Linked DNA regions of Arabidopsis thaliana. The protein of the gene in region 1 interacts with the protein of each later gene in a pairwise test. Each region holds a gene or a part of one and is shown in the gene's direction. Other genes may lie near its edges.

Region 1 (10,119 bases):
ATACGAAACAGAAATCCCGTGGTACAATCTCTTTCTCCCTCTTCCGAATTTATCTCTAGATTAATGGATTATAAAACCTGCTGCATTTTCCACAGGCTGTACGGAGATGCTTAGTCGTGATAACCCGAATCATTCAAACATCCGGAGGAGATTTCTTCTCACGTCGTTTCCGCAATGATGGCCCAGACTTTTGGAAGCTTTTAACAACGTCTCCATTCCACATTATGACGCCTAAGATCCTCCGGGAAGACAACAAATCGGTTCTCCGACTTCCTTACAGAACCATTTCCGAGTCATCATCTTCTACGATTGCTGAAGTTTCCAGCTTGAAAGTGCAGGCAGCAGTTCTCGATATGATCGCCGAGATTTCCAGAGGTAAACGCAGTGCTTCAGCGTTAGATGCAGTCTTGAAAAAAGTTGCAGGATTGGTCGTGGGGATTGCGTACAGCAGTGTAACTGGCCTAAGAGAAGCGGCTTTGAATGCGTTGAGAGGACTTGCTTGCATTGATCCTGATCTCATTTGGATTCTCTTAGCTGATGTGTACTATTCTCTCAAGAAGAAAGATTTGCCTCTCCCACCGTCTCCGGAGTTTCCAGATATCTCTAATGTTTTGCCTTCTCGGCCGCCAGAAGATTCTCGTACAAAGTTTCTCTATGTAGAATACGGTGGTCGGAGCTATGGTTTTGAGTTGGAGTTTAGCTCCGTTGAGATAGTCTTTAAGAAAATGCAGTCTCTTGTCTTTGTAGACCAAATGCGTTGTTAATACTTTGCTTGTAGTAAATACTTTTCTGAAAACAGCAGTAAAAAAAAACTTGGTAATATAGTTCAAGTGTAACATTGAGCAAAAAGCTAGTAAAAAGGGATTATAATTGTATTGGGGTAAATAAAAACATTGGGGGCGAGATGCAAAATATAAAAGAGTAAGGGGTTTAAGTGTAATTTCGACATCGAGACCCGACCCGACCCGGGATTATGAATCCTGATCGCCGCGGGGTCCAAATAAATATATGTCAGCTCCTCCGTTCTTTTATTTTAGTCCGTCGGGAAATAATGGTAAGCGAACGGAGCTCCAAGGAGAAGAAGAGAAGCAGAGCTCGGAGCGAAGATTCTTCATCTTCCGATTGTATGTTCTTCTTCTTCTTCTCCTCTATGTATATACTTTTTCTTCCGATTCCCGAGAAATGCCATCAATTTATCTATCTGTGTTTTCGATTAGATTTTGTAGTTGGCGTTGAGAGTGTGACTTATTGTTGTGAATGACATAATCTGATACATAGTGATTTATGAATTGACAGACGAAGAGAAAGTTAAGAGGCATCGAGGAACAGAGAAAGATGATGAAAGGAGAAGTAGGAGAAGTGATAAGAAGGATAAGAAATCTCACAAGCACCACAAATCCAGTACATGTAAGATACTGTTTCTCATGTTTTGAGTTAGTAAATATTGTTCCATCCGTTTTAGAACCTTGATTATATGTTGAGTCAAGTTAAGTTTGTCGTATGATAAATTTGATGTGTTTGCTTCTTCATCTAGAGAGTGGTGTGTTTATAGTTATACCCATGTGAGCTGGAGTTTTCTTGTTCTTGTATGCCATTAACGGAGCATCAATTTAGCTTTGTCTTACCTATATTCTCCTAGAGAAGGAAGAGGTTGTAGTCGGAACCTGTTGGTTTGAGGGATTATAGGCAGCAAGAAATATCTTGTTTTGGTTACAGCTAAAGCAGCTATGTTTATCTTTCATCAGCATGACTTATATCATGTGTCTTTGCTTTTCAGTATGATCTGTTTTTCTTGCTGCTGACATTTTTTTTTCTCTTACAGCAAAGAAGTCCAAGGATGATAAGCCGAAAAAGAAACATACGGAAAGCGACCACAAGCTAGTGAGCTCTAACTTACCCTTTGAAATAGTTACCCATAAAAACATCTATTTGTATATTCACTTAAAAAGTCAAAAGTATATTGCTTTGGAGACTTTGTATGTGTGGTTCTTCGCTGGTCTCTTCAGTTGTTTAGTCATGGTTTAATTACAAAAGTCTTGTTGCCCTATTGTAATGTTTGACGGATTGTCATCCACACTGAGGTTCTGATTAAAATGCTTTTCTTTTCCGTTTTTTCTTCCAGAAAGAGGGAATTCCAGAGCTATCAATGGAAGACTACTTCTCGAAAAACAACGAGTTTGCTACATGGCTGAAAGAAGAAAAACGTACTTACTTTAATGATCTCACGACCGAAGCTGCACGAGGACTGTTCTCACGATTTGTCAAGAGATGGAACAGAGGAAAACTCGAGTCTCGATACTACGAGGGAATCTCCACTGCCCCACGAACAGCTCACGACTGGATGATCAAGCGTAGGTGAAAAAAAGCAAAAGCAATACCTTCCTCTTCTGTGGTTCGCCGGTTACCTCTCTTCTTGCTTCTTGTACACGTGAAGGTTGATTGCATCAGAGATATATTTCTATGTAGTTTCTCTACTTAGAACTTCTTGTTGCTGAACTAGTTAGATAGATTGTCGTGGAGAGATATGTAGTCGGTTTTCAGAGTAAGACAAACTTTACATATCCAAGGTCTTAACCAAAGTTGCCGAAGAACTATCTGATGAATCCTTATGTAACATTGAGAATTTGATATCCGGTTAAGGGAGAAATAGACCGTTTTGATTGAAAGTTGGTCTTGTACAGTATGTAAGTTCCTACTGGCATTTACAACACAGCGTATATGTAGCTTTGGCTAAGTAATTTGTGTGCATGAAACTTGGTTATATGAAACTGAATTTTCACAACAGACGTTTAAATGAGTGAAAAAACATATTCTAAATTATTGGGTCACGAGTCTCCTTAACAAATTCCAAAAGTTTTACAAAAGCAAGAACCATCAACTCTGAGAGTATACTGAGATTCAAATCAGGTTGGTTGCACGGTTAAGTGAAAGTTTTACTCGACTTCAGCCAAGTAATCATCGATTTCTGCTGGTGTTAGCACCCTGCATATAACATTCACTTTTCAGATATTGATGGGAATAACAAGATTTTTTGTTTATATTAGTTTTGTAGTCTTGAATGTTTACCTGAAAACTTTGTCAGTACCGATTTTGCCAATCTCGATGTTTTTGCTTGAGATTTCTCCCTCGAAACTGTGAAAAGACACGGAGGTTATAGGCTTTTGAGAAATTCTGAACTCTGGAAATAAAGTAAATTAAGTTTTGGTAAAAATGCTCACCCTTCCTTCAATGTCAATATTGCCGTGTGAATGGCATCATCAAGTTCCATATCTTCTGTGTACCTGATCAAAGACTAAGATGAAATGACATGCTTCCAAGATCATAAACTCATCACCACAAATGGTAAATTATTATCACCTCTTCTCAAGAAACGTCTTTGCATTCGAAACATTCTTTCCCATTGCAGAAGCTTTCCATGAGAAATAAGAGCCAGATGGATCCACCTAGTGGCCAATGAAAATTATGAAATAAGATGTTTTCAGTTTACGGGTTTTACTTCACTTTGAGCAGGATGGTTATATTTTCTTTAAAGTTCTACTTACTTGATACAGTTGTGGACCCTTGTCATCATACCCAGCCACCAGTAGAGAAACTCCAAACGGCCTAACACCACTATTAACAGCAGAAGGAGACAGAGATTAGAAGCAAGATTCAGTAGTCTAGTTTGCAAATACAGATTTGCATTAACAACATTATCTCACGCCAAATCAATATCAAAACTGAGCTAAAAAGTGCATAGAGAGACTCGCTCTAGAGTTGCAATCTCTGAGCCAATAACACTTTTGAACCCTGTTGAGCATATGAGAGGAAGTAATTACATAACACTCGATATAGTACTTACCCCGATTGAGTGAACTCTTGCATCACCGTGGCAGTTTCCCTTACAAGTTGAGTAACGGGGATGGGTTCCTGCAACAATAAACGCCCTTAGAAGTTGAATCAACAGAGCGATCTGGATTTATGAATAAGCAAGAACTTATATCAACTGGAATCATCAATCCAAAGTTTTTATCATACATGTACTACTAGACACTCCAGGAAAAGAAGACAAAAAAACAGAAGATATTAAAGATTACCTTGTACAGACGGAGATATTGCTCAGCCTGCTTCCTACTCTTTCGCACAAGAACTCGGAAATCAGGACCCATACCACTACATAAAAGGCAATACCAAAGTTAGCACTGAAATCATTAGGGTACTAAGGGAAAGGTTCCATCAGTAGCACTAGCACCTGATGAGAGAGACTAAGTACCCAAAACAAAATAAAAAATGTATGATAAATCCAATTTGCAAGCTATAAAACCAAATTCGCTATTAAAAAAGAAGTATGGATAGCTGAAGAGAAGAACCTGTAAACAGTTCCAATGTTGGGAGTCAAATGTTGAATCTTTTGAACCTGAAACAGACAATAGATAAACATTAGTTTCGTAGGAGTTACTGAAACTATGCAACCGAAAGGAAAGTAACACGAGCAGGCACAGAATGAAAAAGAACTAATTGCTATAAAGAGTTGATCAAACTTACAGACGCTTCATCAACCAATATAGAAGGAAGTTTCTTTTCAGTTGCAATGACAACTCCATTTGAAGCTGCATAAAGAAAACAACAGTCATGATTACCAAAGACAATGTTCCTTAAAAATCTCCTCTCGAATTTGATTAGATCATTGAAAAAACCTTTAATTCCAAGTGATGTTTGGCCTGATCCAACAGCTGTTAGGGCATGTTCTATCTGAACCAGCTTCCCTGATGGGCTGTTTCATAAACCACAACATGAATCAAACCCCGAAGAAACCGTTCCAAATGCTCAGAAAGAGATAACATTGATATGATAAACAAAGTTAATACCTGAAGGTGGTGAGAGAAAACGAGTACTGACTGTCCCCCATTGAAAACCAACTAAATCAAGCTGCAAAAAATGCGAAATAGTGTCATCTCTGGAAATTTAGAAACGTGGAAGCTAAATCTGTTCTTCATCAACAATGTTCAAACTTAAATGAAAAGAAACCACGTCTGAGCAAGTAAGTAGACTGAAGCGTTCAAATCTGACAAAGCTTAAAAACCCGGAAGAGTCTCATCGCCATGGGCAATGTGTAAGGAAAACGATGAAAAAGACAAGATATACCAACCCTAATTAAGAATTGTGAGTGAATCAAATCAAACACAAACTCAAACTCAAAGATCAGCTCTTAGCTCAAACTCAGAGACGAAAATTGAAAACTTTTCTTAAACCCCAAATTCAATATATTTAAAGTTATCAATTTAAATTCAACAAAAGAAACCCATTCAATCAAAGCAACATACCTTTGATATATGGATCGAACGGAATGGTCGCAAGAGAAGAGAGAGAGAAGAGACCCAAGTGAAGAATTTTTAAGCTCTCAAGGTTTCTTGCACAAAGGGTGAGAGTCTGACGCCAGAAAACGAGAGAAACAAAAAAACCAAAACGGCGGCGTTTTAACAACTTCACAGTTACTGTATCTTACATAATAGTCCAATATTTTATATCTCTTTTCAGTTTGAACCACATTATTTATTTACTACCCCTAGTCCCCTACTCTCTCTCGCTTCCACGCCCGACTCGGACTCAAACCTGGTCCGAATTGGCTGTGTCTCTCTCCATCGCCTCCTTCTTCTCTGACAAACTCTCCTCCGTTGGTCGGAGTTTGTTTCTTCGCTCGTTCATCACAAGCTTCGTGTACTGGTAATTGTTCCATTTTTTCTAGCTATTTCGGAAAATTGGATGGAAGAAGCATCTGAAATACGCGTGTAAATGTCGCTGATTGTGTCGTTGAGGCAGAGCCATTGTTGATTCTTAGAGAAAATTTGCTCCTTTATTTCTCCAGTTTGTTAAACTCTCGATTACGCCCTTGAAATGCATTCGACCGGGAAGAGAAATTTCTTAGCTGTTATCAGATTATTGTTTACTAGTTCGAGCTTGGTCAGAAAGGCTGGTTGTAGAAATCTCATTTCTGCTACCTTTACCACCAGGTGTTCGACGTTATGCCTGAATGAATCTGAAGAATGCATTGAGGATTCTGATCTATCGTCTAGGAGAAAAAAATTTGATTATGTTGGAGAAGTTGGTGAAAAAGAGAAAGTGAGAGATATTACTAGTAGTCCTTTACAAGTTTTACGAAGATGGGGTTGTGATGATGATGAAATATCCAAGCTTTTTACTCGTAGGCCTGCTTTGCAGAGAGCCAATGTTGCTCAGTTAGAGTTTAAGTTAAGCCTTCTTAAGCCACTGGGAATCACGTCTTCAGACCTTGTGAAGATTCTTAACTGTCGTCCTAGGTTCTTTAGTTGCCGTCTTGTCCTTGATGAAAGGATCAACTACTTCATGGAGATTTTGGGGTCAAAAGAGGTGTTGCGCAGAGTCATTATCCGGAATCCGTCACTCATGTTGTATGACCTCGATGACAAGATCAAACCCGCGATAGAATACTACAAAGGGTTGGGCTTTAGCCAACAGGATCTTGTCGCAATGTTGATATCGCGACCCACGTTGATTCCAAGAACAAACTTTAACAATGAGAAGTTTGAATACATTGAGAAAACTGGAGTCACCAGAGAATCCAAGATGTTTAAATATGTTGCAGTCATCATCGGGGTCTCGAGGATGGAGACAATCGAAGAGAAAGTTAGAAACTTGGAAAAGTTTGGGTTCTCGGAAGAAGAGATTTGGCACCTGTATGGAAAATGCCCAATCCTTCTCTCTCTCTCTGTTGAGAAAGTTCAGAGAAACATGACTTTCGTCATAGCCTCGATGAAACTTCCAGCTCATTCCGTGGTTAAGCACCCTTGTTTGCTTCTCCTCAACCTCGAGTCTCGTCTAAAACCTCGTGCGGATCTCGTTAAGAGAGTCTTGGAAATGCGTCTAAAGCCATTGATAAAAGAAGTGAGCATTTTCAGAGCGGTAAGGATGAGCGAGAAACGGTTCTTGAAGGTTTATGTAATGTGTCATCCACAAGATATTGCAACCGAGCTGATGGAGTTTTACGAGAAATCCAAAAACATGAAACGTTTAGCTGAGAAATCCAAGAAATACATCCGTAAAGGATTCCCCTTTTGAATCTCTTTTTCATCTTTTGTTTCTTTGGATATGTTCATTAAAGATGTAACATTGTGTAGAATTTTCCAGCTTTATCAATGGATACTTTTGAATCGGTTCATGTTTTGGTTTAGATCAGATTAGTTAAACCGGAATAGAAAAATATCAAAACACAAAACGCGAAGAAGCACGTTTGGTGAAACGAAACGCCAAAGACGCCCTAGACGTGTCTCTCTTCCAGACCCGTTCGTGGCGGCAGTGACAAAATCCTCTTTATTGATAAAAACGTTTGCAAAGTTGCAACCTTTTTGGGTTTAGTACTTGAAGAGAATCAATCTGACAGCAAATAGTTTTGGCGTCTTTCTAACTCAACCCATCATCTCTGTTGCATTTTATCGAGAGAATATTTGAGGTGGATATGGCCTCGACCCTTTTCTCCAGAACTTTCTTGGCTGCTAGTCACCGACTGATTACTCCTTCTCTTCCGCAAAAGATCTTTAATCCAGCCACCTTTCTCAGTGTAAGTCGATATCTGATTCGCGATCTGTTCTCAATTAGCCATTCGTTTGACCACTCGTTAGCTTCTGGGTTTGAGAGTGTCTGGATTGATTTCGAGCGTTTGGATTGTTTCTATGATTTGACAGTGGTTCTACTGGGTTTTCGAGCTTTTGAAATGTTGAATAGACTATAGAGAATTGCTTAATTGTTGATGAGGTCTATGTCAATCGATGCTTTTCTTATCAAAGTTTGAAATTGGACTTATGAGTTTTGTAATCATAAATTAGGTAGTGAAGTTTTATGTGAATTGCTCAGTTTCGCCTCTCTGTATATGATTCTGACTTTTTGGTTGGTCTTCCTCTTCTTGTGTTGGTAATTGCTGAAGAGGTCACTCCACTCTCAGTTAGGCTCCGCTTCTACAGCCTATAAATCAACTACTTGGGCTCGTCGAGCTATGGCTTCTACTGGAGTTGAGACAAAAGCCGGTTACTCCACATCATCCGTATCAACCAGTGAACCTGTTGTTTCTGTTGATTGGCTTCATGCTAATCTTAGAGAGCCTGATTTGAAGGTGACTGCCCTTTCTCCTAGTTCACTTCTTGGAGAATATGTCTGCCAAACTTAAACTTACCTGTTTGTATGCTGTTCAGATTTTGGATGCTTCATGGTATATGCCGGATGAGCAGAGAAATCCGATCCAAGAATATCAGGTGAGAGTATGAACAGATAGAATTTTGAGAACTTCTTTGTTTTCACAATTGTTCAGGTTGTATTCATTCTGGATGAGCGAAACCACACTTAGTACACTATTTGATGATACTGTCGGACATAAACTGTGTCCTCTCCTATATAGGTTGCTCATATTCCCCGCGCTCTCTTCTTTGATTTGGATGGAATATCAGATCGAAAAACTAGTGTAAGTATCGCCATCTTTTCTTTTACAGAAGATGTACCCCTGCAGTTTACTTTGAAGTTTTCACTTCACATTGATATCGCTTTTATGCATAAATGAAACCTTATCGATAGATATTATCTTCTTTTGCTGCCATTTTTAAGATAGTATGTAGCTTTTTCTTATGTGAGATAAAGTAATAAGTCTGGACTCTTTAATGTTAGTATATGTTATTATGTGTTTTCATTAAGACATCTCTTTGCCCCGATCTTAAGGGAATCATCTAAAGTATTGTATGATATATTAACTACTTGTAACAGTTGCCACATATGTTGCCCACTGAGGAAGCTTTTGCTGCTGGTTGTTCTGCTCTTGGAATTGATAACAAAGATGAAGTGGTTGTCTATGATGGAAAGGGGATCTTTAGTGCAGCCCGTGTATGGTGGTGAGTTCTGGTTCTTGTTTGTTCTTTTAATCCTTTTACTTTGTCCTGAGTCTTTTTTCGAGTATTGTTATAATTGATATGTGCTTCTTTATTTTCCCCTTAAATAGGATGTTCCGAGTTTTTGGACATGAAAAAGTTTGGGTGCTCGATGGAGGTCTACCAAGATGGCGTGCATCAGGTTATGATGTTGAATCTAGTGCATCAGGTGATGCTATTCTGAAAGCCAGTGCCGCAAGTGAGGCTATAGAGAAAATTTATCAAGGACAAACCGTAAGTCACTAATTTGGATAATAGTTCTCTGGTTCGTATTTCTGTAGATTCATGATGAGTTTTGAGCAGTAAAGATGTGTTTTTTCTTCATATAAATTTTCTCTCTCGTGGTTGCACAGGTCAGTCCGATAACCTTTCAGACTAAGTTCCAGCCACATCTAGTGTGGACACTTGATCAGGTTGGCATTTCCTGAATGGTTTTGTCTTCACATTATTGTTAACTATCATTCTCTGCTTAAGAATCTTTAATTTGGTCTATATTTATACCCGTTTTTCAGAATTGTGATTGTGATATATCAATTTTACTATAGCTCAGTATGTTGGTAGATTGATGTCTGTAGATGCCTGATTTTGAGTTTGCGCTTGTGTTACAATAACTTGTTCAGACTCTTATTTTAGGTCATGACTCTCTTTGGTGAATTCACAGGTCAAGAACAATATGGAGGATCCGACTTATCAACACATAGACGCTCGTTCCAAAGCCAGGTACTATAAATGCCGAGTTATTACTTGTTTTGACTAATGGATTTTTCTCTAGGCTCCTTCACACTAATTTGATACTCAGTGTAGCATTTTGATTATTTTACGGGGTTTTTCACAGGTTTGATGGTACTGCTCCAGAACCCCGTAAGGGAATAAGAAGCGGTCATATACCTGGAAGCAAATGTATCCCTTTTCCTCAGGTAAAAGCCACCCTAAGAGAATTTGCTTCCTTCCCACACTTCCTCTGCATCTAGTCCCCAGAGTTAATGTGATAAATTCCTTCTTTCTGCAGATGTTTGATTCTTGTAACACATTGTTACCAGCAGAGGAGCTGAAGAAACGATTTGACCAAGAAGGTAAACTATTTCATCTCGAAGAATAAGTTTCACAATCTTATTTATATAAAACATTTGTAAGATCTCAAGGCTTTTTGGTGCAGATATCTCACTGGACAAGCCTATTATGGCCTCGTGTGGGA
Region 2 (11,135 bases), about 12 Mb from region 1:
ATCGCCTCATTTGGACAACTTGACCGAACATCGACAGTTCATGGTATATGAAATCCATTATGTTCTTTGAGATTTTAGTCGCGAATTTCTTGAGAATTTGCCAATCACAAACATGTAAATTTCAAATTTATTTTATTCGAAAATAAATTTGAAATATTTTGTTTTGCTTTGTAACAGTAACATCTAAAAATTTAGTTTGGGTTATTTCTTTTGAGGAAAAATATAAATTTTAGTTGATTTGACCAATGTCTAGAATTGGAGTCGTTAAGTTCACTATACGTTATATCGGTGGCAGAGATGTTTTGATCAATGTAAATATCTAAAATTTCTTGAGAATTTGCCAATAACAAACATGTAAATTTCAAATTTATTTTAGATTTGAAAATAAATTCGAAATATTTTGTTTTGCTTTGTAACAGTAACATCTAAAATTTTAGTTTGGGTTATGTCTTTTGAGAAAAAAAATTATATTTTTAATTGATTTGATCAATATCTAAAATTGGAGTCATTAAGTTCACTATACATTATCTTGGTGGTAGAGATGTTTGGAATTGAAGGCGAAAGAGGTGGTATTGATAGAATTGAAAATGACAGCGTTGATAGAATTGATGGAGATGGTGCTAAAAAAGCGAGCACGGTAGTGAGAAGCGAGCATAAGACGACAATGATGATGGAGTTTTCAGCAGTAAGGGAAAGCAAGGGTAAAAACATCATTTGTCCCTCTCCGGAAATGCCAAATTTTGTAAAGACGGAAAGAAATACTCTTTTCAAAGATTGAGTCCAAAGTATGAGTAAAAGCTTTATTTGTACTTTCCAAGAATGCCCAATTTTATAAGGTGTGAAGATTAAAAAAGAGCTCACAAAAGGCCCAAACCAACAATAATCCCATTACTTTGCATATAACTTATTTTTTATAAAAATATATGCAGACTTTAAATGACATCTTTAATTTTTAAAATTAACTACCATATAGATTAGCCAAAAATAGAACAATATAAAAAAAATATTTGACATAATCTTATTAATTTGCATCATCTTATATTGAGAAGAAAAAATTCTATAAATCTACTAATTGAACCTATATAACTCTATCTCTCACACAAGAATTCCATCATTTGGGATTCTCTTCTTGAAACTAAAGATATATAAAATGGTTAGATACCCAAAAGACAACCTTTCTTTTTCTCTTCTAAAAGTGTTTGTTCTTCTTGTTTTATTTACAGTTATACAATTAAGCCTCGCAGTTACACAAAGTGAAGTCCATACTATTTGCTCATCTCCAACATCAAATCCTTTATTTTGCTACAAGTTTTTCAAGTTAGATCCTAAAATTGGAAAACTTGATCTTCCTGGCGTTGCCAAATGTTTGATTCATTATGCTCAACAAAATGCCTTAGATACACATAATCAGTTACAATTACTTGCTAATAGCACGACTGATAACCGTACCAAAGAATCTTACATCTCATGCTCAAAGTATTACGACAAGGCTCTTTACTCTTTTGATGAGGCCCTAAAAGATTTAAAGGTCAATAATCCTGATTATTTAAATATTGAGATTACAGCTGCTCGGCAAAATGCAAATGATTGCAAAACTTTGGATCTGAAAGATGTCTTCAAACCTGATCCAAAACTCATTATGAAGATAGATTTTCTTGAGAATGTATGTGGAATTCTTTTATCCATTTCTGATATATTACCAAAGTATTAGTAGAGATTGGAAACCAATAATATATTACCAACTACAGACCTAAAATATGTTTTATCGTTCTGTCGTGATATAATAATCTAAAATTAAATTAAATAGTGCATACTAAAATGATTGCTGAATTTTGATGTTAATTGGATATTTGATTAGCGGTTTGTTTTGCAGCTTGCATTACATGAACACAATGTTATTGACTCTCTATATATAGCATAATGACATTGACGTAACCACCATATCGTTAAAAAAAAAACGGTTTCATTTGGGTTGCTGCATAATTCCCCCTATACTAGTTGCATTTTTAGCTTTCATCCACGTATTTGTTGGGTCTAAAAGCCATCAAAAAACCTTATAACTACGTCTCCAATAAAACAACATGATTTTTCCAAGATATATATTAGGCATTTTTTCCAAAACAAACCGCACCAAATCTTACGGGTTGAAACTGGTCGTTAAGGTCTCATGAGGAACTATATTGGTATTTGATGTGTTTAAATTCTCTCAACTTTAAACTTTTTTAGTCTCCTCCGTTCATAGCTTGGTTCTCTGTGTTCTATCTTTCGATTGTAGCAACAGTCTTATCGAGAGCGATCGATTCTTATTTGAGTTTGATGTTCTCATCACTTCCACCATCGTCACCCATATACAAACTCCACCTACCATGCTTCTTCATCGCCACATCATTCCAACACCTGCAAATTTAAAAAACTTTGGGTTTGGGTAGGAGTGTCAAAATGGGTAACCCAACTCAACTCAACTCATAATCAAATGAGTTTAGGGTTAAATGAGTTATGGGTTGACCCAACTCATTTTGTTAAATGGGTTGGATCAACCCATAACTCATTTAATTTAATGGGTGAAATTGTTAAATGGGTTAACCCAATTAAATAATAATTTAATTAATTATTATTATAAAACAATAATAAATAATTATCATTATTAATAATTATTAATTCATTATTATCAAACTTAAAATATTTACAGATTCTACCGTTTACGGATTTACGTTTTTGGCGGGAAAATTACGGATTACATTGTTGGCGGGAAAATCACGGGTTTACGTTTTTGGCGAAAAAATTACAAGTTTACGTTTTTGGTGGAAAAATCACGGGTTTACGTTTTTGGCGGGAAAATCACGGGTTTTCGTTTTTGGCGGGAAAATCACGGGTTTTCGTTTTTGGCGGGAAAATAACGGGTTTACGTTTTTGGCGGGAAAATCACGGATTTTCGTTTTTGGCGGGAAAATCACGGGTTTTCGTTTTTGGCGGCAAAATCACGGGTTTTCGTTTTTGGCGGGAAAATTACATGTTTTTCGTTTTTGGCAGGAAAATCACGGGTTTACGTTTTTGGCGGGAAAATCACGGGTATTCGTTTTTGGCGGGAAAATTACATGTTTTTCGTTTTTGGCGGGAAAATCACGGGCTTACGTTTTTGGCGGGAAAATCACGGGTTTTTGTTTTTGGTGGGAAAATCATGGGGTTTCGTTTTTGGCGTGAAAATCACGGGTTTACGTTTTTTTCAGAAAAATCACGGATTTACGTTTTTGGCGGGAAAATCACGGGTTTATGTTTGTTGGTGGAAAAATTACGAGTTTACTTTTTCTCAATTCATCGCTTGTATATTTAAGAAATTTGGAAAAATATTAATTTTATTAGATTGGTTTAGATGTGTTGGTTAAACTTAAATTAGCATTGGTTTAGAGATTTTAGTTGGTTTAATTCAATTTTACAAATTTTGATGGGTTAATTAGGTAAATCATTGAAACCATTAACCATTACAATCCAACTCATTTACTCATCAAACCAATTGACCCGATAACTCATTTGACCCATCAACTCATTTGAGTCAAAAATTTTCAACTCATTAAGGTTCATGGGTTGAGTTGAGTTGAGTTGACCCATGAATTTTGACCCATTTTGACACTCCTAGATTTGGGTGTTAAAAATTTATTTATTACATTACAAAACTGGATATCTATTTAAATATATATATATAAAGTGCTAATTAAAAGATATATATTAAATGATCCGACATTATTGCTCTAGATTAAATAGAAACAAAATAAAATGCTTTGACATTGTAATGCAGTTGATGTTTCTTTTTTTTTGGCAACATAATTATGTTGTTATTGATTTAACGACCATGGAAAAATAATCACCTTATTGTCAAAAAAGAAATTACCTTACTATAGTACATAATTAAACAAGTTTGACCAAAAATCAATATGTTGATATTTACTTTCAAGTGTAGATATGGTTAAATGTGGTCCATATAAATCTCACAACAATTCTCATGTAACAAGAAACATAATCTTCATATTAAAATCATAAAATAAATTTGGTTGTTATGTAAAAACAATTATTTATTGGTTCTGTTAGTAATGCTTTTACTATAAAATTTCAGAAAGTAAGGTTAGTAATAATTCTTCATTCTGTTTTATGTTCTTTAAGTCGACTCCTAAAACTAAAAAACTTAATCTTCTTGGTGTAACAAAGTTTTTGATCAACTATGCGTCACGAAATTTCTTAAACATAAGCATGCAATTCAAATCACTCGTTAAAAGCACGACTGATCCTCATTCATAAAAAATTATACCGAATATTCAGAACTTTCTATTATTGCACTTACCAATTTTGATGCCGCCCTCAAAGCTTTGGCAACAAAGGACAATGTCACCTTAAATGTTAAGAGTCTCAGCAGCGATAACCGATGAAGACACATGTAAAGACGATTTGTCAAGTGTTATATCTAGTCCACAATTTTAAAAGAAGATTTCTAATATGAAAATCTGTCGGCCATAGTTTTGGTTATTTCTAAAATATTACCTAAACATAATAAAATATTATAAATCGATATATTGTTTTATGGATTAAAGAAAAAAAAAACAAATTTCCTTTTCATTATTTTGTCAAAACTGTATAACATGGCAAAAGGTATGGCAAAGAAAACTATCAAAAACGATAAAACCATGGCAAATACTCCACTAATAACATATCAATCATAGGTAATGCAATTTTGTTTTCTCTTTTTTTTTTAACTACGTATAATGGTGTTAAAACTTTTTTTGTTTTTTTTTTTTGGAAAACTTTTGACCTAGTGTAAAGTTTGGCAAAAATGGTTTGATCTAAAACTAGTTTCATCGAGATTTTACATTTTGTAGAACTCTGATTCGGCTTTAATGAGTTTATGGTTAGAGACATGGGTTAGGTTAAGCTTTACTCGATTTAGAGTTTTGAGGTTCGCTGCATCTTGCTTTCATGCTATCAAAGCATTTTTATATTGTTACATTCTCTTGAGTCTTTTTTTTGTTTTGTAATCCTTTTCTATTTCTAATTAAAAAAACTAAAATTTATAGCTAAAACCATTAAAAAAAAGTAACCAAGAGTTCCGAAACTAAAGAAAACCCAAAAAAGTTAGTAACTTCAAAAAATTTAACTAGTTTCTTTCATCAATCTGTATTTATATATGTTCTAACTTTTTTTATCAAAACCAAACCGAATCTAAACCGTAAGTCAAAATAAATTAAACCAAAATTGCATCAAATTGAAATCATGACTAAAAATTACTCCTTTTGTCCCTTTTTATTGATTTTCTAGAAACAATCACAGATTAAGTAAACATATTGATTTAATTTTTGTGATTTAATTTTTTAATAATTCTAAACTAATGATATTCAATTATTTGTCTTGAAGTTTAAAATTCATCAATAATAACTAATAAATAGTGCATAGAAACCTAAAAAATCAATCTTTTTGAAACAATTTTGTTTCTCTAAAAATCAATTAATAAAGAATAGGGGGAGTATTATTTTTGAAGTATACTTTAAAAAACACCTTTATTTTGATAAATATTAACAGAGAATGTCATTACTTATATTCATGTATTCAAATAACTTTACTATTAATTTTTATTATCCGTATAACCAAATCAATTGATTGTTTTTAACATTAACTATAAAATTTGAAATATACATATAATGTTCCAAAATTAGTAATACATATTAAAAGATTGTGTTAAGAATTAAAATAATGATTCGCAATCATCTTTGTTTGATTTTGTTTTCTATTTGTTTTGAATCATCATATAAAGTTAATAATAAACTATTTTCTACCTATATTCTGATTCAAAATTTTAGAATTAGACATATATATTACTTAAATAATAAAAAAGTGTGTTCAACGTCTCAATTTCACATGGGCTAAAATGTTTAGAAAATGATTAAGAGTCATGTTATAAATAAATCTAAATCTAAATAAACAAGAAGTTTAACTTAACAAGTATCTAAATTTAAAAGTTTGTATATGGTTTAATTCTGTTTTTAATTGAACTGTTTAATTTTACTGGATATAGTAAATTTTAAGCTTTGAAAGTTTTGAAATATTATAATTGATATATTTAAACTCAGTATAAAGTTTAAAATAAAATGAATATATATAAAAGTCTAAAATAACGCAGTACATGTTATATTTTGAGACTGGGTATATGAAAAATGAGTTTAAATCGACATTAAAAAAATTAAAAGTATCATTAACCGACATTATAATACGGTGAAATTCTCATTTTATTATTTGATTAACATCACTAATATTAAATATGTAGAATTACACTAATTTAGTTAAGATTATGTGAAAACAAAATTGTCCCGTGTTATATTGAGGGTTAAATTCTAGTTTGGTTTAATAAAAGGAAACCTGAATCAAAACTAAACAAAATTATATACTACAGAAAAAAGGGTTTGTTGCATCAACTAAATTATATCGATAAATAAATGATGTTAATTTAAATTACTTCTTCGGTTACTTTTACTTACTTGATAGCTTATCCAACTCTTAACTATAGCATGTGCTTAAGGAGAAACTAAGAACTCTTATACTATTACTTAGAAATTATTATTTTGCGAAAATTCCACTAATATCTTCGGGTAATAATTTATCTATTAACATGCCGATTTCAAATGCTTGGTATTTATTTATAATATATACAAAACAAAACAAAAAAAAATCTATAAAACCCACCCTGAAAACTCGATCACTTTATGTCCATTCCGAGAACTCTCTCCCTCATTAATTAAAATCTTTCTCAGAGCAATCTTCTCACAAGTTTCTAAGAATCTCAAAGCATGAATATAAGTAGAACAGAATTCGCAAACTGTAAAACCCTTATAAATCATAAAGAAGAAGTCGAAGAAGTCGAGAAAAAGATGGAAATAGAAATAAGGAGAGGTCCATGGACTGTGGAAGAAGACATGAAGCTCGTCAGTTACATTTCTCTTCACGGTGAAGGAAGATGGAACTCCCTCTCTCGTTCTGCTGGTAACTTCTTAAGCCTTTTGCATATATATATACAGAATATGTGATCATGCATGATATATAATATGTAATGCGTAAATCGATCGATTCAGATCAATTGAAGTCATCATAACAAATCCTTATATGCCCATATCATATCTCTAGAGTGATTGTTAAACTATCATTGATTTGAATGGTTAAAGTTTGGTATTGAAGGATTCTTTATATGTCAAACAAGTAGTCCGTTTTTGTTTTTTAAACATTTAGACTGAAACTTTTTTTTTTCTTATTAGAAATTCGTTTTGGATTTTGTGGATTTTAATATGATCATGTGAAGTTTAGTTTAGAGTTTATTTATAACTAACTGAAATTAAATGGAGTAGATATAAAAACTCGTCCACATCTTATCAATATGTTATTCAATTTCTATCACATCATATGTGAGTGATATACATATATGAATGTGATTTTTCGTAACTATGAGAATACTTTTCTTATGGCTGTGACTTCTCCATGTCGGCATAATTTAAATTCCTCTGTAGAATTGGTAAAGTAAGAAAGAACAAGTTGACATATTCATAGTTCATTATTATCATTAAAAGTGTACTTTCGTATGAAACAGTTTGGTCGGTCCAAATTTATTTATTTTTTCCTTTGGAGTTCTTTTCATATTAGCCTTTTGAGTGTGGAACTCAAACACCTTTCCCAACCATCCAATTCCATACAGCCTCATGGAATTGTTATCTTTATTGATTTGGGAAATTGTACTAGTGTCCATATACTATTGACTAGTGTACATTCCAGTTAATTCATGTTTTTATACTAATTGTATTTATATTGAAATCATTTACTATTGAGACAGGACTGAATAGAACGGGGAAAAGTTGCAGATTGCGGTGGCTAAATTATCTCCGGCCGGATATCCGCCGTGGAGACATATCCCTTCAAGAACAATTTATCATCCTTGAACTCCATTCTCGTTGGGGAAATCGGTATGAAACCTTTATTTATATCGACATAGACATAGTCATATTGTCGATACATTACTTAAAATAGAAAAAGGGACACATATCGTTGAAGAGAGCAAATTTGGAACGTCTCTATGAAATAAATAACTCGTTATTCAATATTGTATTAGTAGATAATTGACAAAATCAATTTGATGCGTATTTGAAATTTCTTGGTTGAATTGTGGTTACTATATGAAACTTGTATCATAGTTGAAATTAAGGTACACATCAACGTCTTTTTTTATCAGAGTAACACTAAAAAAACTGATTAATCTAGTACTACAATAGAACTTATAAATAATTAAACCCTCCGATTCATTATAAATAATATTTTTAGCAAGAGTCGGTTTTAACAAAAACAATTAATATACGTACAAAAAGTATATTAGAAATTTAATATATTTTTTGTATGTATAAATGATTCTAATAAAAAACGGAATGAGAGTTTAATTACGATGTTCTATAAAATTAATCGTGTTTTTAATAATGGAGTTAGTTTTGATATTTTTTCTATTGTGAAGGTGGTCAAAGATTGCTCAACATTTACCGGGAAGAACAGATAACGAGATAAAGAATTATTGGAGAACACGTGTTCAAAAGCATGCAAAACTTCTAAAATGTGACGTGAACAGCAAGCAATTCAAAGACACCATCAAACATCTCTGGATGCCTCGTCTCATCGAGAGAATCGCCGCCACTCAAAGTGTCCAATTTACCTCTAACCACTACTCGCCTGAGAACTCCAGCGTCGCCACCGCCACGTCATCAACGTCGTCGTCTGAGGCTGTGAGATCGAGTTTCTACGGTGGTGATCAGGTGGAATTTGGAACGTTGGATCATATGACAAATGGTGGTTATTGGTTCAACGGCGGAGATACGTTTGAAACTTTGTGTAGTTTTGACGAGCTCAACAAGTGGCTCATACAGTAGGCATTTCATGGGTTTATTAATGAATGTAATGTATAATAAACATAAACTAATCATTCAAAACAAAATTAAAGGTTTTCCGGGTTTTTTTCCATTTTTTTATTGGTTTAATTTTATTGTGATGTATGATTTTACAAAACAAAAAAAAAACTGCTTAATTAATAATATCAAAAACATATATATTGTTACACAGAAGCATGATTTAGATAAGACTATAAGAGCAAAGAAGAGAAAAACAACAACATGAGTTTAGCAAAAAGTTTATGTGGTTCCTGGTTCATTTAATAACTCCCATACGATCACTTATAATCTACCATATATGATCATCAATTAAGTTTTATAATATCACCGCATTATTAAAAACATTATGAGTATTTGATAACATATCCCAAAGAAATTCATTACATACTTATTTAACTAATGGGTTGAAATAGAGATTGATGCATGATGTGTATATGAAGTGAACATCAAATAATTATTTTACTCTAAATAAATTATTAATTTGGATTTGGCCCTCTCATCTAAACTCAGAGTTGAAGTGTTCATGAAATCTTGCATGCTCGAGACAATGAGACATATTGCTTAGAGCACTTAAAGATGGTATCAACTCTTAAAAATATGCAAGTAAAATTTCGTCGTCTCAAATATCATTTTTTAAAAATAAAAAAAAAACTTTAGTTACATACATGTTGAATTCTCTAAATCGGTTATGTAGTTTGTGGTGCTATTATTGTTTTGGAAATTTCTAGTTTGTAGGGCCTATATTTTCTTGTTTGGCTAACCAATAATATCGTTAGTTTCATTTAAAATCACATATTAATTTAGTTTGTATAATCATTAATAGTTTAACTAAAAGAAAAGGACGTGAATGATGTCTCCAATTCCTAATCATGATTAAGATACTATTAGTTACTCCAACTCATGTAACACTTTATCGAGATTATATACGTCCAGAGGGGACGAACCCAAATAAGTTACTCTAGTTAAACTTTTAAATAAATTATTTCTCAGTGTTTTTTTCCACTACGTCGAGTAAGGAGGATCACAGATTCACCCGAACCCTATTTTATAATCAAAGTATTAATTGTTTTATTTGTTAGAATATATTAAATTAATCATCGAACACGTCTATAGACTAAATGGAAACAATCCAAAAATATCAAACAATGCATGGTCGATTTTTATTCTAAACTTATCTTTTCAATATTCTCTTTATAAGAAAAAAGCAGAACAATAGTAATTGAATTGGAGTGAAAAAAGGAATGAATTGGCATTACAATTTTGTAAATGGAATACTGGCCTTTCACACACGAATATCTTTGCTTTGTTGGATTATAGAATCATTGATTTTGGCTTTGATAACTATATTATATATTGACGTTGATTGTTGTATGTTGATTGTTGAGAACAGATTGTTAATTTTAGATAATAATTTAGATATCTACGAGAAAAGATAAGGACACGTGTGAACATTTAACACGTGCGCTTGTTGCTTTTAGAAGGCCGGGAAAGAGAGAAGTGGCAATGGCGGCTGTAATGGGAATCCGAGAGAAGGTGGCGCATGAGAAGCAACCCGAAAGTGGTCCCAGTTCGACACATGTACGCTCCATCTGTCACGTGTCTTTTCTTTTTTATTTCTTTAGCATCCTCTAGAAAATAGGAGTATCTTTTTTTATAGTGGCTCTCGTTTCTTCGATTATTGGTTACTAACATCGATTTATCATTTATCCGGTTTCTGTTTTGGTAATTGACTGAAGTGGTGGACTTTGTCGATCCTCAAACTAAATTCATTTATATCGACTACTAACTAATTTGGTTTGCTACATCTGTTGTATATCTTTTCTGTGTCATTTTTTTAAGTGAAATTTAAGATTTTTACATACAAATTAAGAAAACATATCAATTTTTTGTCTAGTATTTTTCTTTATGTAAAACATAGCTAAGTAAAATAAATTCAACCAATAAAAAAACAGAATGCAAAATATAATGAGTAAAAAAAAATTGCATAGAAATTTATAATTATCACTTAACATGAAACAGAAGGAATCTTAAAACATTGCTTACAATGGTACCAAATGAATAAAAATTTACATCTTCTTCTTTTTTATTGCAAAGATAATCACTTCCTTATGTCATTATTATATGTATCCTCTCTATTTTCTTGTGTGCTTCTAGAGAGATTCCATAGGGAATGTTAGTGCAGAA
Region 3 (11,909 bases), on another chromosome or scaffold:
AAACAATTAGGGGTAGACATGTGTATTGTAATAAAGGATAAGCTACTATTTATAACAAATGAATTTAGGTAAAGAAGAGTTTAGTGGAGCATGATATTATTTCATATTTCGTAAGTTATTAACTCATACGTTATTGATTCATAAGTTATTAGGATTTAAATAGGATTTAAGTGGAGCTGACTTTCAAATTGCTTACTCAATTAGTGAAAGACAACGTTTGATGATTTTTAATTGGCCTTAATACATTATTTTTAACTGAAATTTCTTATATTAATTTGTGCTTTAATGAGAGGATTCAACTGTTTAAACGTAACATTTACTCTAGATTTTTTACTTGCATTTAACTTGTAGTAATTAATGTTTATAAAAATTACATAAAGGCATAATTTTATATTTAAACCCTACCATTTTCCATCCAAGAAATGGTTTTCATTATGATAATTTATTTTCTTGTAAAATAGTATGATTTTTTTTTATTTGTTACTTTAAATTATGAAAAACAAATCAAATAAATTGTAGGAAAAATTTGTGAAGTAGATGTATCAATTAGGTGATAATATAAGAAGCCACTAAATTTACGTCTTGAGTTTAGTTCTACTTCACGTATAAATTTAGTAGCTTCTAAACAAAAAATAGTGGCTTCAAATGATACCGTGTTATATAGTAAGTATAAAATGTATATGATATTTACTAATTTTGCACTTTGGAATTATGTTCAAACTAATTAGTCTTTGTATATACTTATAATTCACATATTCGAACGGTTCATGCCAAATATTAGAGAATTCGACCACATATTAATCAACTTGCTTTTTATTATTCATTGCAACAATGGAAGCGATAGATCAATCCTCATTTAACGAAATACATTTTATAATAAAAACACCATTATTCTTAAGGATCAGCTGGTTAGACTCAAAGTTGATAGATGACAAATCCGTGTTTACTCATCAGAGTCCCAAATATCATGTTCTTCCTTTTGTCTGATGCTTCACGATGTAGAGAGTGATCTCCATGCTCCAGAACTCACTAATACACGTTCATAGAAATCGGAAAAAGGTATTCTTAAACGCTATTTTTTAGATCACGGAGATTGTTTGTGAAAAGACGTTTTACAAACTAGCCAAAGGGAAATTATGTATTCCTTAAACGTTTTGATAATTGACAAATATTCATTATTCTAATGTGTGACTTTTGACAAATTTCAGAACTATTCAAATTAAATTTACTAAGTTTTAAAAGTTTTTCAATCTAGCCATTTTGTACATTCATATCTCATTCAATTTAACTTCGATTTTCAATTGTAAATAGGATATCTTATAATGTTCATTACAACAAATTAATTGACTCCTTTATCCAGTCATTCCAGTGACCGATTTCAACGATAAAGTCCACAGGAAATTGCTCGAAAGCACTTTTTCCAAATTGGTGTTTTATGCACATAAAGACGCATGTTCGCATAAGCAGCCACAGACGCAGGAACAGAAGGAGGCGCAGGGGCAGGTTTAGGCGTAGGGGCAGGCGCACGAACAGGTACAGGAGCAGGGACACGTGAAGTTTTTCTCGCATTGTTGATCTTAATATTTGTCACATCAACTTGTCCATCTGGTCCAGACTTGATGATAACGCTAACAGATTCATCTATTTCCTTTAGCTTCGTCGACATTGCGATTTTATTAAATTCTCCTCCCTTCACCTCTAGTTGATTATCTCTCTTCACCTCTACTGAAGTAATTCCTAACAACCAAAAAAACAATAGTGCTTTGTTTTAAAGACTAAATAGATGAAAAATTATGTATAACAGAATAACCAGCCATAATTAATAATACTATAGGTTTGTTTTGGTGTACCTGAAAACTCCCAAATAACTTCCATAGCATCAAGTTTCATTTTTTCATCAAGAACTTTAAACTTGAATACAACTACCTCCTGCAAAATAGCAGGTCATGATACAAGTAATAATTTTATTAAAATATACTATGAACCATTTGAAATTTAATTGCTCAAAAATAAGGGAATCTGAAAAATTTGTTCTAAACGATTAAACGAACCTGTATATTTGGAGTGGTAAAATAACTGTAGACTGAAGTTAAACTCGGAATGCGATATTGCCCCGTTTTTCCCATTTGGTTGATAATGTCAACAGAGTTATCTAGCTCATGAAGTTTGCTCCCCATTTGAATCTTATCATATTTTCCCTTCACCTTTAATATACCTTTTTCCTTGATGTCTACGAAAGTAACTCCTAACAACAACAAATATTATTGCTTTCAAGCTTAGATAGATTACTTATTGATTTATTTGGTTTCATTAATACTACAACCATAGATTTGTGTTGGTGTACCTGGCATCCAGACAATTTTCATAACTTCCCGTTTGATGTTTTCATCAGAAACATCCATCTTGAATTCAACTGTCTCCACCTGCATATTAACAGTTCATTGTATAATAATCAAAAACTATTTTAGAACCATTGAATTTTAGTTGCTTAAAAGTTAAAACTAATCTTAGAAACTGAAAAAAAAAAAAAAACGAACCTGCATATTTGGAATGTTTAAAAGATTGGACAGTGAAGTTATATGATTGTAACCACACAGATTGCACACTAGTAACCCTTTGCTTCCCCGTTTATTTATACAATGTTTTGTTTGTAACTAGTGCTCAATATAGTAATGATTAATTAGGTCCAACCATAAGAACTATAGTCAATTTTATACATCAAGACCAATACAAACAGTTTTGAGTCTCTTTGTATAATAAGAAAGGTAGAAAGTGAAACAAGTTAAGTCTTTTTTTTTTTTTTTTTTTTTTTTTTTCAAGTTAAGTCTTTCTAAATGAATATTATCAAAAAAAGGTTTTTCTAAATAATAGAATGGAAGTTGGCATGGTCTCTTACTTTAGTGGCTTCAACTAATACCGTGTTATAGTCAAATATACGATATTTTGTTTTTCGTTAATTCTGTAGTATAATTTAGAACAACTAGTACACTCAAGACGTAAAGAATATACGAAAGAGCCTTACAATTTCTTCGAAGCTAGGAAATACAATATCCTATGCATAAAACATATTGTATAAAGGAAAACATTTATGGGAGGTGCAAAAGGAAATCAAAGAAATTTCATAAATATTGTTCCTAAATCTTTATGAATTTCTTGATACCCCATGTATTGATTAACAAACTATTTCCCAATACATGTACAATTTCATCGTTTTTATTATTCAGATATTCGTCAATGCAATGGTTTTAAATCTATTTAAGACGAGTTTTTTTGAAGTACTAATTGATGGAGATCTTTGGTGAATCACAAACTCACAATCATTCTCTATGGATTTCCATGAATTTACTAACAATTAACGCTGATGAATATGATGAAAAAGTATATAAGTTATGATGATCCAAATGTAACAGAAAGGTTAGTATATAGCTTTAACTAATCTTCTAAACTTTATTTTTATTATTTAAGAAAACCGACAGAATTACAGGGCTTAATGAATTTTATTGCATGTGCCAAAAAACATAAATACCTATTATAAAGAAACACTTGTGATATAATAACACGATTATTGACGATATAATATAAACGAATTACTTGGAATAAGTGTGGAACGAAGTTGAATGATAACAATAATCTATCAAACGTTGACTATCTTTTCTGACACTTCGGCCAGCATTAGTTTGAGCATCTAGTTGCTGGTGATAAGAATTAAGTGTTGCTTATGAAAAGCGATCAATGAGACTCTTTTACTTCTTCTTTTTTTTTGGACACAACAATGAGACTCTATTACTTAACTTAGACAATTTAGATGAAAATTTTGTTTTTGTTGTTTTCAATTGGATGATCAGAACTTAATAATGTTAACAAAAGACATATAACGCCAATATGAATATAAGAGCCACATAATTATTACAAATAACGGGCAAACAATTTTTTCAGAAAAAATGAGATGAAATATCATCAGAATACAGTAGTCCATGGAAAATAAACCGATCACGTCTTCAAATTGATCACTTAAAGAAACCCAAATTCCAACCACGGTAAGATGGTGCTTTCTTCACTTTAGGTTCAGGCTTTTTAACCAGCTTCTGATTTTGTGCCGGTTCTCCATCCGGCCCAACCGCGATAATGTCAACAAATTCATACACCTTCTTAAGTTTCTTCGTCATTTCAAACTTATCAAATTCTCCATTCACCTTTAGTTTACCTTTTTCCTTCACGTCTATCAAAGTAACTCCTACAACAACAAACATTATTGCTTAATTTGTATTAAGCCTAAATAGATTCAATTACTTATATTATATATAGACATTGTTTGTACATATTATAATATACCTGGAAAGTCACATACAACTTTCATAGCTCTTCGTTTGATTCTTTCCTCAAAAACTTCCAACTTGAATACAACTTTCTCCTGCAAAGATTTAGATTTGAAGCTTTAGACAGTTCATTGTGTATAAGTAGTACCTTTAGTTTTCTAAGATTTTAAGTAACTAAAAGAAAAGACATACCGGCATTTTCGGAAAGTATAGAAAGTTTGATGATTGAGGAGATATGATGTAAAGGAATATGAAATCAACCTCGTAGCTTGCTCATTAACCTTTGTTTCGCCCCATATATATACACGATATCCTTTGCTTGAATTAGCGAATATGAAATGGTTAAGTCAAGCCATCCAAGCAAGAAACTGAAATAGTCAATTTGATACGCTTAAATGAAGATGATTAATAAAACAGGTTTGAGTCTTTCTATATAATAGATTGTTAGAATGTGTTGTTGCGCCTCTTTTGTTTAGTACTTTAGTAGCTTCAACTAATACCGTGTCATAACTCATAATTATGCATATGTAAGATCTTTTGTCTTTTATCATCTCGTCGATATAAGATAATAAGAGCGATTAAATCAACCCTATATAATAATAACAATATAAGTTTTCTATTTCGTTTCGTTTAATGAAAATATGAATAAAATTGGGATAAGTTTGTATCGCCTTTTTTTCTTTTTCACAATAAGTTTGTATCCCCTAATTTAATCATTTAAATCATATTATCTACGGCTGCTATCATGTTTACAAATGTTCTTTGTATTAATAAATAGAGATGTTGTTGATACGTAAATTTCAGCTTCAGATTTTTAATAAAATTATACATTCCTTAATAAAAATGTGTGAAAGCATGAGGAACCACACAACTCCCAAACCACACGACATTATCGTCATTTACTTGGGCTCATACGAAGCGTTACAGTATTAGTAAACGCCATAATTTAGGAAATTTTCAGTATAGTTATACAAATCTATACTATAACTTTTGGTACTGCGCTTTAGCCAATGTCATTAATTCAGTTACGTAACAGACTCCAACGCCAAAACATTAGTATAAACAATATTAAGAACGTGGCATTACCAACAATCCAACAAAGATGTTCTCACATCGAAACCAATTAGAAACCTAAAAGATATAGTGAAGGTTGATCTCTTTCTTTAACATGCCACATTTTTGCATTTCTTCCTTTATTTGCGAGGTTAAAATATGTTCATTTGTTAAAGAAATTTATAAACCAATGTAAACCATCCATTTAAATTCTCATTCACAAATCAATCGTTCTAATCGAAGGATGCCAAGAAAAAAAGCATTGTTGTCTTGTTGATTGGGCTAAACATTAAGACAAAAACAGTGGCATCACCAAGTTTTTTTTTGACATATCGATGTTTCATAATGGGCTAAATATATAACCCATTTGCCCATTAGTTTTTTTTTTTTTGACGGGCAAGTTGCCCATTAGCTAAAAAGGCTCCACAAAACATAAAATTTGGACAATTAGAAAACCTTTACCTAAACTACAAAACAATCCTAAATTCAACCAAAAAGAAAAGACCCTTTTTTGGTATAAACGGATACAAAACATAAATGGAAAAATCTTTATTATAAAGATCCAAATACGTGGCACGTTATATTAGGTCACAAGAACTATTTTGCCGACCTCAAAAACGATCACAAGAATAAGTTTCTTTCATCGAGAAACACAACATATACACAAAAAAACTATAGCTTATAAATTTATTAATATTTTAATAAAATCTCTGCCGTCTTCTTCTTTCTCATAAGCCACATTTCTTCTCTCTTTCTCTCCTACACAACACAGCTTTTTAAACCCAACAGAGCAAAAAAGCAAAAGATTCAACAAAAATCTCCTCAAATTCTATTCATGGTCTCTAGAAATTCTGACGGATATTTCTTGGATCCGACCGGTATGACTGTTCCTGGTCTCGGACCTTCCTTTACAGCCGCCGTTTCTTCTTCTTCTTCACCAACGACTTCTTCTACGGCCGTGGCTGTGGCGGATGTGACGGCGATGGTTTCTTCTTCGGAGGAGGATTTGAGTAAGAAGATTAGGAAGCCTTATACTATTACTAAGTCTAGAGAGAGCTGGACGGAGCCTGAGCATGATAAATTCCTTGAAGCTCTTCAATTGTGAGTTTTGTTCATTTTGTGCTTTACCATTTCTCGTTAATGGCTATTTGGAGATTTGATTTGGGAAGAATTAGCATCAATTTTGGTTGATTAGGGTTTGTGGTGGACTTTATAGAATCATGTGAATATGCGTGGAGTTTCGATTAGGATAATGTGCAACTTTATGTTTCAGTAGGTTTCTGAATTGTACTGTGTTGAACCAGTGGAATTAGATTGGATTTGGGACATAGAATTGGAATCGAGAGTTGGATTTAGGCAGATGGATTTGGCTATGTATGCACATTTTGTTGAATTAGGCGTCTGATAAGAATTGAGAAGATCAGGATGTCGAAAAATGAGTATAGACTGTATTGAATTTGTGTAGTAGCTATTGAAATTGGATGAGCTAAATGTTCTTCTAAGACCTGTATGATCATTGATAGTGAAGAACGAAACAGGCAAGAAATTGAGCTGAGATTATGAGGAAATAGCGACGCAAACTATATGTATCTTAGTAAAAAGAGGATTTAGTGAAAACTATTAGAGCTGCGTTTTTTTTTTTTTTGGTTACAATAGTGTCTATAAACACTGGTAAGTGAGTAATTGTAGTACTAAGGTTGGTATGTAGTGGGAAAGTCCTTGGGGTAGGTTCTAGGGGAGGCGATGATGATTGTACTGTTCATTGCTTATTCTTCTGTGTATTGTGATGCGTACAATCTTAGGCAAGGATTAGACACATGCTATATCCAGGTTGTTTGGTGGTGGATCTGATATCTCTTATGTTTGTGTTTTGATTATTTTAGGTTTGATAGAGACTGGAAGAAGATTGAAGCTTTTATTGGTTCAAAGACAGTGATTCAGGTACAGTAAAAAGTAGATATATCTTCTGAGTTACTCTGTTTTTCGCCTACTCTAGTTGTTTGATTCTGTCATCTTTCTCTTGGGCCCTCAGTGTTACTTTGGATTGAGGTTGTTTTCTCTCATTTGATATCTCCACAAAGTGTTCTGTTAAAACATCTTTATTGTCTGTAACTGTTTTGAACTACTACTACTAGGAGAAAGAATGTCACATGCGTTTGTCGCTTATCACCACTTAATGAAGTGTTATATGTAGTTATTTTTGCATTAGACAAGTGAGCTCGTTGAGCTCTTTTATGGCTTCTTATACGGACTCCTTTAATACTGCAGATACGAAGTCATGCTCAGAAGTATTTTCTTAAGGTACAAAAGAGTGGGACCGGTGAACATCTCCCTCCTCCTCGACCTAAAAGGAAAGCCGCTCATCCATATCCTCAGAAGGCTCACAAGAATGGTACGTTATAGCTACTGCTTTAAAAACTTTGAAGTTGTATTGTTGTTTGCTTACTGAAAACTATATTGATGCACTGTTTATGGCAATGTGCAGTGCAACTGCAAGTACCAGGGTCATTCAAGTCAACATCTGAACCAAATGACCCAAGTTTTATGTTTAGGCCTGAGTCTTCTTCAATGCTGATGACTTCGCCAACCACTGCTGCTGCGGCTCCATGGACAAATAATGCGCAAACAATTAGCTTCACTCCCCTCCCAAAAGGTTCTATTCTCATTTACAAGCATTATGCAATTACTGTTACTCTCTTAATATAATCTCTGTTTCAAATTTTACTAAATGAAGCATATTGTTGTTCCACGTTGATGGAAACAGCAGGAGCAGGAGCTAATAACAATTGTTCTAGTAGTTCTGAAAATACTCCAAGACCACGATCCAACAGGGACGCAAGAGACCATGGAAATGTTGGCCATTCATTAAGAGGTAAGCATCGTTACATCGTCTCCTGTTAATCTTTTTGTTTGTACCATATTTACCATTTCTTACTAGACAGTTCCGCCTTTTTTTTTTTCAGTTTTACCGGACTTTGCCCAAGTATACGGCTTCATTGGAAGTGTGTTTGACCCATATGCAAGTAATCATCTACAAAAGCTGAAGAAGATGGACCCCATAGATGTTGAAACAGTACGTTTCTTGTCTTTTCAGTTTTCACTTTTACATCAATCTTAATTGAAACCACGTCGGTCCAATGGAACAAATGGTTAAACTAATCATTTTTTTCCTTTGTTTGCCCCCACCAAACAGGTGTTACTATTGATGAGAAATCTATCCATCAACTTGTCTAGTCCTGACTTTGAGGATCATGTAAGTATTTTACTCCACAAACTACTAGTCAATTTTAACTCGAAACCCTATACCAGAACTAACCTCAAGACTCTTATTGATTTCAAAAACAATAGAGACGGCTTCTTTCGTCTTATGATATCGGATCTGAGACAGCAACTGATCATGGTGGAGTGAATAAAACCTTAAACAAAGACCCACCTGAAATCTCTACTTAATGTTTAATAGAAGAGGAGAACTGTGAAAAGTGTCTCAGGTGAGCCAGCCAACAACCAGATGGCTACAAAATACAGAGATTCTGTTGTGGTTTTTTGTTTGTACATAGGAAGAAGATGAAGCTGATGTTACTCGGTTTAGTTGTTGTTACTGTTATAAATAGTCTGTTGGGTTAAGGATGGTATATGTACAGTGTATTATCATAAGTTAGATCTCAAGTTTAAACATATGTATCAGTCTCTTTGATGGGAGACCAAAATCTCTTAATAGAGTTGTCTTTGCTTTCGTTTTCATTCGTTTATAGAGGAAGAAATAAGGTGACTGTGACCATTTGTATAACAATATGGATAAACTATTTTTAGTGGCATACTCTCGACTATAAGAAAAGATGCATCCAAGGAATATCAAATCTTCTTGATCAAAAGGTTATAACTTATAAAGAATGGACTAATATATATTTTAATTTGATCATATCTTAAGACTTACACCAAATCCAATTATTTTTTTTATAGAATATGAAAACATAAATAAACATCATTACTTGCCTCAGAAAAATAAAAGTAAAAAATAAAAATAAACATCATTATTAGAGATCATAAAAAAAATAATTTGCAGGGTATTCAGTGTGATCAATGATTTCGACAGATTTCAAGATCAATAATTTGTAGTTGGCTTCATTTGTTTGTAAACACATTTTGGAGGTGGTGATAAAACACATTCTTAGTGATGAAATAGATAAATACATTTCTAAATAGATGTAAATCAAATGATGGTTTGACTGGTTTGCATATAAAACATTTTCTAGAAGAAGTTATTAATCATATTTTAAACAAGAATTGTAATCATATACCATTCCCTCTCTCAAATTTGTTTTGAGCTTTTGTTAAAGTATGTATCTGTCTCTTTGATGGGAGACCAAATCAAATCTCATAATAGCGTTGTATGCTTTCGTTTTAATTCGTTTATAGAGGAAGAAATAAGGTGACAGTGTAGACCAATATGGTTAAGCTATTTTTAGTGGCATACTCTCGACTATGCATCCAAGGAAAATCAATCTTCTTGAACAAAAAGTTTATAACTTACAACTTATAAGAATGGACTAATATATCTTAAGACTTACACCAAATCCAATTACTTTGATAGAATATGAAAACATAAATGAACATCATTATTTGCCCAAAGAAAAATAAACATCATTATTAGAAATCATAGAAAAAATAATCCGGAGGGTATTTGGTGTGATCAATGATTTCGACAGATTTTAAAACCTTTTTTATTTTCTCCAGTAACTTATCTTGATCAATATTTTCTCCCTTCACTGCAAATACGTCGTCCATGATACCACAACTTATGACATCAACTCCTAATATAATAATAAAAAGATGACAATCATTCACATTGTTCAAAATTCGTTTGTTGAATATAATTGTTGGGTGTGTGTAGGTTTGTACCTGGAAAACCACCTGCAATTTTGAATCCTTTTCGCCATTTTTTTTCGGGATATCCTGGATGCTTGAATACAATCGTCATCGACTACAAACAATGAAATAAAACTAAAGCTTTAGTGAATTTATTATATAACCACATAAATAGGTTTACTAAGAAAAATAACTAACCATTTTTTGAAAAACTCAAAAGTTTGGAAGGAGAAGAGAAGATGATGGACAAGAATGTGATTACAAACTCGCTTGCTCATCAACCTCTATATATATTACTGAAAATTGATTTTTTTTGTTAAATAATCTATAAAAGTACATTTATCTCTCAATTTCACAATCTCTTTCGACATATGTCACAATTTCTCATAACAAATTTTTGACACAAAAATAGATTTATCTTCTTTTTTTTTTTGTTGAAACAACACAAAAATACATTTATCTCTCAAAGATTTTTTTGTTACAATATGGAGCAAATAAATTAATTAAACTGGAAATTATTTTAACAAGATAATATATGTAATTAATAAAAATATATGTTAATTTATAGAATTAACTAATCTGATAAAAATATATAAAGTAATCAAAGTTATAGTAAAAAAAAAAAAAAAATCAAAGTTATAGTAAATAATATTTAAACGTATGTCACAAAATTTACAAGATATAAACTTTTCAAAAAAGAGAGGATAAACCATCGTAAATATAAATACAACGAGTGTAAGTATTGGTTAATAAAATATTAAATATAGTTATCATCAAATAATTTGATAAACCCCCAATTCTTAATTCAATTCGACAAGATCATTTTGAGTTTCTCAGTCTCCGATACTGCCCAAACTTAAGGCCCATATTTAATGAACTCATTATAGGCCCAAAACAAAGCATATAAAGTCATCGTCTTCTCTAGTCCTGCGAAAACCCTAGTTTTTTGCTCTCTCGAAGTTCCGTGCGACTCTCTGCTCGAGCAAGATCTCCTACCGATACAATGGTAACACACAAGCTCTGCTTTTGATCTATTTCTCTATTCTCATCATATTCTCCGGTGTCTCAGAATGTTGTTTCGTTGAATTTTGACCATTTTCTTCTTCCTTCTTGCTCTCAGATTATCTCAGAGGCTAACCGCAAAGAAATCTGCAAGTACCTCTTCAAAGGTTCGTTCTTCTTAAATTTGTTCTTAGATCTCTGTTTTCTTCAGCTTCTGTGAGTAAATTGATTCATTTTTAGGCTTATGCCGATGAACATTGTGATTTTTGAACTAGTTTAGGTTAACTAGTTATGGTAGCAATTATGATGTTTGGCTTAGAAGGTGAACATTGTGTTGATTATCATATGTTCTATGATTTTTGCAGAAGGAGTTTGCTTTGCGAAGAAGGATTTCAATCTTGCTAAGCATCCGTTGATCGATGTCCCCAACCTACAAGTGATTAAGCTTATGCAGAGTTTCAAATCCAAGGAGTATGTTAGGGAGACATTTGCCTGGATGCATTACTATTGGTTTTTGACCAATGAAGGGATCGAGTTCTTGAGAACTTATCTTAATCTTCCATCTGATGTTGTTCCTGCTACTTTGAAGAAGTCAGCTAAGCCTGGTGGTCGTCCATTTGGTGGCCCACCTGGTGATCGCTCAAGGTGATTAACTCTTTGCTTAACCCATTT

The links.
Region 2: the proteins of AT1G79220 (region 1) and MYB112 interact in a two-hybrid assay, tested with the Arabidopsis thaliana proteins (one large-scale study listed by BioGRID).
Region 3: the proteins of AT1G79220 (region 1) and AT5G52660 interact in a two-hybrid assay, tested with the Arabidopsis thaliana proteins (one large-scale study listed by BioGRID).

Annotation. Positions count from the first base shown.
Region 1 is NC_003070.9:29,793,353-29,803,471, forward strand, and holds AT1G79220 (Mitochondrial transcription termination factor family protein), read left to right. Parts: upstream 1-5,498; 5' UTR 5,499-5,874; coding exon 5,875-7,074; 3' UTR 7,075-7,219; downstream 7,220-10,119. Other genes in the region: AT1G79190 (ARM repeat superfamily protein), read left to right, coding at 1-21, 96-764; SCI1 (splicing regulatory glutamine/lysine-rich-like protein), read left to right, coding at 1,052-1,124, 1,297-1,407, 1,823-1,881, 2,123-2,359; AT1G79210 (N-terminal nucleophile aminohydrolases (Ntn hydrolases) superfamily protein), read right to left, coding at 2,934-2,982, 3,067-3,132, 3,219-3,281, 3,358-3,443, 3,543-3,612, 3,842-3,909, 4,077-4,152, 4,350-4,396 and 3 more; MST1 (mercaptopyruvate sulfurtransferase 1), read left to right, coding at 7,472-7,573, 7,937-8,122, 8,202-8,261, 8,405-8,467, 8,764-8,888, 8,996-9,158, 9,278-9,337, 9,586-9,644 and 3 more.
Region 2 is NC_003070.9:17,702,067-17,713,201, reverse strand, and holds MYB112 (myb domain protein 112), read left to right. Parts: upstream 1-6,741; 5' UTR 6,742-6,824; coding exon 6,825-7,017; intron 7,018-7,855; coding exon 7,856-7,985; intron 7,986-8,524; coding exon 8,525-8,933; 3' UTR 8,934-9,070; downstream 9,071-11,135. Other genes in the region: AT1G48010 (Plant invertase/pectin methylesterase inhibitor superfamily protein), read left to right, coding at 542-685, 1,319-1,711.
Region 3 is NC_003076.8:21,356,333-21,368,241, reverse strand, and holds AT5G52660 (Homeodomain-like superfamily protein), read left to right. Parts: upstream 1-5,968; 5' UTR 5,969-6,204; coding exon 6,205-6,470; intron 6,471-7,252; coding exon 7,253-7,310; intron 7,311-7,637; coding exon 7,638-7,761; intron 7,762-7,854; coding exon 7,855-8,022; intron 8,023-8,133; coding exon 8,134-8,241; intron 8,242-8,332; coding exon 8,333-8,442; intron 8,443-8,562; coding exon 8,563-8,622; intron 8,623-8,717; coding exon 8,718-8,819; 3' UTR 8,820-9,241; downstream 9,242-11,909. Other genes in the region: AT5G52680 (Copper transport protein family), read right to left, coding at 1,379-1,737, 1,851-1,929, 2,052-2,245, 2,345-2,423, 2,538-2,543; AT5G52670 (Copper transport protein family), read right to left, coding at 4,008-4,234, 4,333-4,411, 4,509-4,514; AT5G52655 (uncharacterized protein), read right to left, coding at 10,017-10,180, 10,269-10,350, 10,434-10,436; AT5G52650 (RNA binding Plectin/S10 domain-containing protein), read left to right, coding at 11,239-11,241, 11,356-11,404, 11,603-11,882. UniProt on the Arabidopsis thaliana protein: Probable transcription factor.